Drosophila melanogaster: one gene and its partner. The protein of the gene in region 1 purifies or fractionates together with the protein of each later gene. This does not show direct contact. Each region holds a gene or a part of one and is shown in the gene's direction. Other genes may lie near its edges.

Evidence for each region.
Region 2: the proteins of Dll (region 1) and Zif purify together in Drosophila melanogaster (affinity purification with western blotting; one study listed by BioGRID). This does not show direct contact.

What each region holds. Positions count from the first base shown.
Region 1 is NT_033778.4:24,813,108-24,817,831, forward strand, and holds the start of Dll (Distal-less), read left to right. Parts: upstream 1-1,714; 5' UTR 1,715-2,329; coding exon 2,330-2,460; intron 2,461-4,486; coding exon 4,487-4,662; intron 4,663-4,724. UniProt on the Drosophila melanogaster protein: Transcription factor that plays a role in larval and adult appendage development. Specifies the identity of ventral appendages (including legs and antennae) and suppresses dorsal appendage development. Involved in patterning the distal-proximal limb axis.
Region 2 is NT_033777.3:6,455,290-6,459,386, forward strand, and holds Zif (Zinc-finger protein), read left to right. Parts: upstream 1-1,798; 5' UTR 1,799-1,867; exon of another isoform or gene 1,868-1,927; 5' UTR 1,928-1,997; coding exon 1,998-2,141; intron 2,142-2,203; coding exon 2,204-2,820; intron 2,821-2,877; coding exon 2,878-3,012; intron 3,013-3,113; coding exon 3,114-3,384; 3' UTR 3,385-3,533; downstream 3,534-4,097. Other genes in the region: CG9727 (uncharacterized protein), read right to left, coding at 1-732.

The sequences.
Region 1 (4,724 bases):
CAATTAATCGCGGCCCAAGAGGGGTACCCGTATTACCATTGGCCTAGTCAAGCACAAACAGCGCAGCCCAGGCGCCTCACTGGGAAAAGGAACAGTAGCTGCAGTGCAGTGGCTAGCCCGGGCTAATCATAATTTGCATTTAATAAATATTTCATTAAGTAATTGCAACAATTACGTGCATTTGCAGTGCTACCTTAAATTAGTGCAGCGCAGCCGACCAGGTCATAACTCGGAACGGCGGGCTCCACAGCCGATCCGATCCGATCCAATCCGGACGAGGGGATTAGCATTTCAGTCGGATCAGGCGCTCAATTACCGCTGGATGCTCGATTTATATTTACTTTTATAAACAAACTTAATTCGATTTTTGTGGCACTCTGGTTCTGGTTAATAGCGCCGCTCCGACTCATGCATATGCATATTTTCCCACTTTCAGCGGAAATCCTTCTCAGGTGACAACTGCCTGCTGTTGGGAGAGGGGAAAGGGGTGGAATGGAGACCGCTTTGCCGCCGCTTCAACTGCCAGTTAGGCTAGGCGGACAAAGGTGGAAATTCCGCTGTTCTCTCCGCTCGGTGACTTTGTCTTGTGAATGAAAAAGTCCGCTCGAGCAAACGGTCCGTGTCGCTTGGCCCTAGCCACAAAGCGACATTATGTGGCCGAAAGGACGCCATTTTGAATTGGGCCTACTCGAGCTCTCTGCCCTCTCTCGAAACGCTCAAGGGGGCGTGGCGAGGGAGTTTCTGCTCTCAGCAGGGGGCGTGCTGGGTGCGCAGGTAGTATGTGTGTGTACGAGTGCGGCTGCGAGGGTGTGTGTGTGTGTGTTTGACAGGTGAGCAGGTTGGCCCGATAGACTGGTTTGTCGCTGCCAAAGGCGGCCACTAGGTGGCGCCACAAGTACCAACTCCAAGGAGGCTTTAAGACTCCCTAGAAAGGATTTTCAAATTAAAGGTTCCATTAGAAAATGATAGCAGACCTGTCATATATACCACGCTATGTTGTTTGTGTGCGTAGCGTTTTTTCCTTACAAGCAAGCCCACCGATTGTAAAACGTAAACAAATCATTAAGTTAATTCGTCTGTTGTCCGCAACTGTTGATTACCCGTGGAAATGCGTGTGCCACAGTTTCGATTGATCCGAAAATAAGACCCGAAAGGAGCAGCGGCTAAATAAGAAGACAAATTATAGGTTCAACAATCAATTTAATAATTGAGACCTTTGCATTTAATCAACATTATTTAAAACGTCAAAATATTTGCACTTTCCACGGGCAGTTCCCCCTGGAATTTGCATATACACGCCGTAAGTTCCCCAAATCCGTGGGGACGCGGGGCGACAGGCCACGCCTCAATCTCGATGCGGGCCCTAGACCTAGACAAAGTTGACGAGTTGAGCGGCACAAAAACGGGGTCCCAGAGCCCAGCCCCACCCCCGTGCACCCGGAACGGGGAAATTTATAGTATTGGTGCGGTTTCTGCACCACCATACAGAGACACCACCGAGAAAACCGGTTGCAAACCACCCGATTGGCGACGCTCGGCGAGAGTCACTGCCAGCGGCTTGGGCCTCAGCAGCCGTCCCGCTCCGACGCACGGCGATGGATGACATCTGCGCCGCTCGCACACCACTGCTACAGAGCGGCAAAGCGGCACGGCCGCAAAGCGACAGCGCAGCGAGTCGAAGTCTCGCGCAACCGCGCCGCGAAAACCTCACCTAGTCGTATACGCACTTTGTTCGTGTGCAGTCGTCGCCGCTGTTCTCGCCGTTGAATTGCCGTCGTCGATCCGTCGTAGCGTTTTGCGCCTTGCGTTTCTGCGTCGAGCTAAGTGATCCGTCGCGGACTATAAAGTGATTTGTAGTGATCTGATCTGATCTGATTTGATATGAATTGATTTGATTGATTCGCAAAACGGAGTTGAAAATCGTGAAAATCTACAAAGAATATGCACAGCCAGAAATCGAAGTGATACAAGAAAGCAATTTCGAGTGAGTTGAGTTGCTAACAAGTTGAGTGTCAGTGCTGAGAAAAGTGCCTCCTCGCCATCTGAAAGGATTTACGCGCTCAACAGTTCCGCCAAATCAAGTCGCCGAACTGAACTGAAGCCAAGACATTGTGTCCTACAAAAACCTTAGATACGCAAGCCACACACTCCTACTGTGCAAGTATAGCTGATCATTGCCATCGGATCTCTGAGAACTTCCTTCCCGCGCGCATCCCCCTGAACAGCCGTCAAAATTCTTGATAAAGTGGCCTCAATAGGCGCCAACACGCTCAATTTCACGGACCTAGGGAGCCCCTACGAGGGGCCTCCCAGCACCCCCCAGTCGGGCATGGACGCCCCCGACGCCCCGCACACGCCCAAGTACATGGACGGCGGGAACACGGCGGCCAGCGTCACGCCCGGCATTAACATCCCGGGAAAGTCCGCCTTCGTGGAGCTGCAGCAGCACGCCGCCGCCGGGTGAGTGTCCCCAAGATCAGTGGAGTGGAGTCACCGGGAGGATTGCAGAAAGTGTTTCGGCGAAAAGACTCGATCCCCTCCAGACTTCAGCCCTGCCAAAACCAAACCTATCGGAACTCAATCTCAATCTGTGCGGAGCAGTTGACACACCCGAGAAAAAAGGAGTTTGTGGCCAGGGCGTTCCCAAAACTCGAATATGAATCTTTTTAATGAATCTAAAGAGCGCTATACGTACCATAAAACCATTTGGTCTTTAAAATCATTTCATTCATTTCAAGGGAAAAAGTTAGTTGGCATAGGACTACAAGCTGCATAATTGCATAAATAGATAATATAGTACATTGACATTACAATAAACAAATTCAATTTTTAATAATAAATAACAGTTGGTAAAAGCAAGCAGTTAAATAAAGTCAGGTTAACTCAAGAGTATATTGTCTAAGTAGTTCATATAACTTTTTAGGGTCTTAATTACTGATTACATTACAATAGCCAATAGTCTTATTTCGATCGATACATAAATTTTACTATTAAAAAACTTGTATAATTATTAGTTGTCTTAAAAAATGAAAGCAACCAATTGTAGATTTATGAATTCGTCAATGTAATCCAAAGTTAAAAATTATTTTGACTTCCATAAAAATGTACTTCTAAAGTAACAAATGTAGTATAAATTCGAAATCACAATTTTAAATTTCAATTTGCCAATTCGCCATTTAGCCTTCTCTAGGCCCTCAGCCAAATCGACTAAGACTGAATCGATGAAAGTTGCCGTCAGCTTTCCATCTTTATGATACTATTTTCGGGATCGATTTCGCGTTGGGGTCTCGCTATACTATTAGTTTTGATTAAGAAAATCACTTCAGCTGCACTTTCCGGCTTACAGTTCATGCTGGTGCCTGGCTGGCCGGCAGCGGAAGCCAAAAATAAATTCAATTAAGTGTAGTTTACTCCCGGTCCGTGTTCTAAATAAGCGTCTGATCCGGAGGGTTCTGTTCCTATCCAACAACACGTTCCTCATGGGGTAGCAATAAGTCGGGCTCGGTGGTCTGTTTACTGTTACCGCTCACTCGGCGAACTGTTTGCAGCCGCAAATTGTTTTCCCAACGCACGATTCGATTTTTCATTATACATATTTTATTGCATTCTTGGTTTTGAGCCTTGCGGTTTCCACTGCTCTGTCATTTGTGCGTGTTGGGCTCTTGGGCTGGGACGGGACTTGGAATGCTTGGCTGCGCCGACCAGCCCTCGGGAGTTGTTCCTGGCCACGACTTTTCTCCGTCCCCGGAGTGGCTGCCATGTTGTTCGCTGTTCGCTGTCCGCTGTCCGTTGTCCGTTCTCCGTTGTCCGTTGGCCGCTGTCCGTTGCGGTTTCTGCTGCTTTCGGCCCGCTTCCGTTTCCGTGTTTGAGGGGCCAGGAGAGCATTGAATATTTCATGCAGTTCGCTCGGAACATAATGCATGGGAACTTGCTCAACTGTTTCGCCCGCAAAGTGTTAACAAAATATTTACCGCGAGCGAGCGGGACTGCAAACGGAACTGCGGACCAAACCGAAACTAAAACACAGCGACTCTGACACTCGTATTGATTTTTCTTTGATATATTAAGCCGCATCCAGTTCGGGCTTTGGATAGGTTTTGGTTTTGTTTTTGGTTTCGGTTCTGGTTTTTGTAAATGAAGTCATGGCAAAAATTTCCTTCCTCTCCGCCAGCCTAATTTTTTGTTGTGAGAGAAAAAGTTTTGGTTTCGACGCTTCTTGCATTAAACATGAAACATTTTGGGCCCACTTTTAGATATTTTCCCGACCGAACGCTCGTCCTATGCTCGGCGACGTTTGAATTTAATAGTGAATAGTGAAAAGTGTAGACAAAACACGCAAGTAGGAAAAGTTTTGTCCCCGGCACGATTCATTCACATTCACAGCCGGTGTACGCCACTTCCATTACTTCCACTACTTCTTCCACAACTGCCACAGCTATATTACAGCCCCGTATTGATTATTTTCCGTGCATTTGCGGCATTCCAGGTACGGCGGCATCCGGAGCACCTATCAGCATTTCGGACCGCAGGGCGGCCAGGATTCCGGCTTCCCCAGTCCGCGCAGCGCCCTCGGCTACCCGTTCCCGCCAATGCACCAGAACTCCTACTCCGGCTACCATCTGGGCAGCTACGCCCCGCCCTGCGCCAGTCCACCGAAGGATGGTAAGTACTGCTCCTCCTTATCCGATCAGTCTCAGGCCCAATCCCAGTCCCAATCCCATACC
Region 2 (4,097 bases), on another chromosome or scaffold:
TCTCATCTTCTCCTCACTGGGAACTGATCCCGCTGAGTTGGAGTTGCTCAAAGCATTCATTACGTTTTCAGCAATGGTGGAGTTTATCACTCCACTGGCCGCTGGAACGCCCTCGTTCGGATGCCGTGGACCAGCTATTGTTGGGGTCGAAGGAGCAGCTGTCGCTGGAGTCGTGGTGACTGGTACTGGCGCCGATGGCACTCCCGCAGTAGCTCCGCCCATAGCGTGCATGATCTTGCCCAGACCCAGTTGCTGGGCTGTGCTAAAGCTGAAGGCATTGGCAAAGGCCAGGCCAGCAGCATTTGCACTCGCCGTGGCAAAGGGATTCGGAGTAAGTACGGAAGTGGAGACACCTCCACTGGCGCTGGTGGCATTGGAAAACGGAGGCGGCACAAAGCCGCTGGGCGTGGCTACAGGTACAGGTACATGGGTGTGACTCGTGGGCGAGATCTGGGCAGAGGCAGGTGCTCCGCCGACAGGGCCCACGGGCGTAATGGTCAAAGGAGAGCCCTTTGCATGGATAGCAGGTCCTTGAAATCTGGTTGCGCTGTAGACTATATCCGCGGGCTGTAGGCTGCAGTTCCCATAGGGATTGGCGTTGGGTTTCTGGAGGGGTAGTGCCACAGGGATCGGTTGAGGTATGGGAATGGAATTGGAGACTGGTGCTGTTGTTGCTGCTGGCGCCGCTGATTTCGTCCACTGCGCACCCAGCTGGCCGTGCTTCTCGGACATGTTAGGTGCTAGTGCTAGCGGCGCCTCCGTTTCCCTCCGCCTGCTGCTGCTCCCTCGTTGTTTTCTGCCTGCTGTGGTTTCTGGCCAAGATTAAGGGCGCTTCCGCTGCCAGGTTACGTAGGTGGCTGCCTGTGTGAGTGCTGGACTGCGTTCTATTGAGTGTGTGTGTGCCTTAGGAGATGGAGATTGCCGAGTCGATAACTGGCGCGACGAACATTTTGACGGCTGCGACGGACGAAGATACGGATGCCAGATATAGTTGCTTTCCCATTTTCCCGTCAGGCGGGAGTGCGCTGGGCGTGGGACGTGAAAGTGCGTGGCGTTCTTTACTGCCAACGAGCATGCGATTTTCCCAGATACGCACCGATTGAACCGAAATAATCCATTTTTTAACGAGAGATAAGAAAATATCTTGCGTTCTGCGTCTCGAAAAATATGTGGCGTTGCCAGACGGCTGCATTAAGAAATGTGCTTTTTTTGCCAGAGCTTTCGGATGTAAACACGGTGTTGTATTTGCGATTTCGCATAAATAAATGAGTAAATTACTAATAATTTGTATATAATTTGCAGATTCACCTTACGCAATGTTAGCTTGTATATGATAAACATGCAACGCTAGTCTTTTAGTGATCTTGCTGTCATCGTTATCGCCACTGGTCAAAAAAATGAGCCATAGAGAACTGGTTCCTAGCTAAATTAAATCTTTGGTGAGATGTATTGTCAGTATTGGACATAATATTTTCTATTGATAAGGCAAATTTAAGCGCATTAGGCCTTTTTTTAAATAATATTTAATGTAAGACGTTGGTATTTTTATGATTGAATTCTTTACTCTATCTAAATATACGTAAATATGAAAGAAATATATAAATATATATATAATTGTTTTCATAATATTTGAATATTTGAAGTATTAATATTTTCTTTCTCATTTTACAAGTTGTTTGTGTTTATAGGCACACTGGGGAATACTTTCAGTTATCATATCATATCGTTTAGCCATGGTTAAAGGAACAAATATTTCCAATGTATTGTCACAAGCAGCAAACATGTTTATCAGATATTTAACCAAAAATCCGCTTCCCGGAACCAGCAAAATGAACCACATCGTGTTCGCCGATGCTATGCAGCCCTGGTAAGGAAAATGGCGATGTCTTTTCGTTTCTTTTTTCAGTCGCTTTACACAACACTTTAGCAACACAAATTTTAACACTACAATACTACGCGAGCGGTTCTTTAAATTAAATTTCGAGCAGGATTCCAGAATGCGCGTCGAGCTTACCCCACAGACGTGCCGGGTCTGCCTGGCGCAGAGTGAGCGACTGCAGCGCCTAGACGAGATCCGCGAGGAAGGCGAGGAATCGCCGAACGAGATGTTGATTCAACTTTTGGGAGTCTCATACAGCAATGTAAGTGAATCGCTAGAGCTGGCAATGCGAACTGACCATTCATCCATCCATCCCTCATGCAGCTGAACGACAGAGAACACATACCCGATGGCATCTGCAAGTCCTGCAAGGTCGAACTCAACATGGCCTACCAGTTTCGCGAGAAGGCGCTGCGCAAGCAGATGGAGATTGAGGAGTACTGCCGGGAACTGGGCTTGCTGGACGAATCAGATGTGATGATGATCAAGGAGGAGGACGGCTCGCAGCAGCAATGCGACGAGGAGATGTACATCCTGGAGGAGACCACCACCGGGGAAGAGGAGCACCAGGAAGAAAAGGGGCACGAGGAGTACTTGGAAGTGGACACCAGCGATCAGCAGGAGTGCATTGGCGACACCATCGAGTACTTGGAGGACAACTACACCATCGAGATGAACTCCGATCAGACCGAGATCGTCCTGGAGTCTGAGAAGCAGTACGAAGAGACACCATCGCAGCAGTTGGCGCTGCAGGAGGCGGCCAAGGCAAGCCTGAAGGCGCGGCGCGGCCGGGTTCGTCGCGGATTAAACTCCCTAACAACATCGGACGGCACTGAGAAGGGTGGCTATATCTGCGACGTCTGCGGAAACTTTTACGAAAAGCGCGGCCGGATGATGGAGCATCGCAGACGCCATGACGGCATCTGCCAATATGCATGCGAGTAAGTCGAGTCGGTAAATTTCATATTAAAGCGATAACCCTAATCCCGCCTTCACAGACTATGCGATGCCAAGTTCCAGGTGCGCGAGCAACTGAGGAAGCACATGTACTCCCACACGGGCAGCAAACCCTATAAGTGCAGCTTCTGCAGTCGTCAATTCTTCTACGAAAGTGTTCTCAAGTCTCATGAAAAGTGAGTAGAAATGTTATTCTCACGGAGAGGCCTCAAAATGGGCCATTTAAATATATTCCTAGTTCGGGACAGAGATAACTAACTTTTCTTTTTCCGATCAGTGTTCACCGTGGCATCAAGCCCTACGTGTGCAAGGTGTGCGACAAAGCGTTTGCCTACGCTCACTCCCTGACCAAGCACGAGCTCATCCACTCGGACATCAAACTGTACCGCTGCGATTATTGCAACAAGGACTTCCGTCTGCTGCATCACATGCGCCAGCACGAGGAGACCAAACTGCACCAGAACGCCGTAATGCTGGCCGAGAGCATGAAGGTGGAAATGGTGGCCGAGCAGGGGGGCGGGAACGAGATCCGAATTCAAGCTCACTGACGCAATCAAATTCAGTAGAGTATACTGTCTTATTTCCAGATATAATCCCTTATAATCAGTAATACTAGCTTAAACGCTAACGGATAGCGTATTCATAGTTGTAAGAATGAACTTCATACGTAAATAAAGGTTATTTTTGTTAAAAATAGAATATCAAACGTATGTGATGTTTTAGCAGCATGTGGAATTTGGTTCATAAAATTAATTTATTTGATAATTTGAATACATACAATACAATACAATACAATTTGAAATGTAACACGCCCGAGAAAATCTGGCAATCTAGTTGTACGCTAGTTGGTAAAAGTCACAACTGGCCGTAGTTATTTCCACAATCAATGTTCGCAATGTGTGTGCGCGGGAAGCTATGCTGAAAATTATGCAATAAATATGGGTGGCTTCATGACGCCGTGGGTATATAAAATGAAATTGGAAAAAACCCAATTTGCACCTAGCGCATGCAAAGCACCAACAAATGTACAATATCAAAGGAAGTTCCGAAATTACATGACTTGAATGCGTTTTTTTTTTTCATTGGCCGCTTGTCTCCTTTTTTGAACTCCCCCGTGTATCATATCATCATTTTAGCGGAAACAAAAAATGTTCTTATGGACTGGTAAAGCCTTTCGGCCCCTGGGGCTTTGTATTTGATTACGGGTGGTGATACACTGCAAGCAAAGCTGGGTACAATAATTCAAAATAGGTAACCAAGG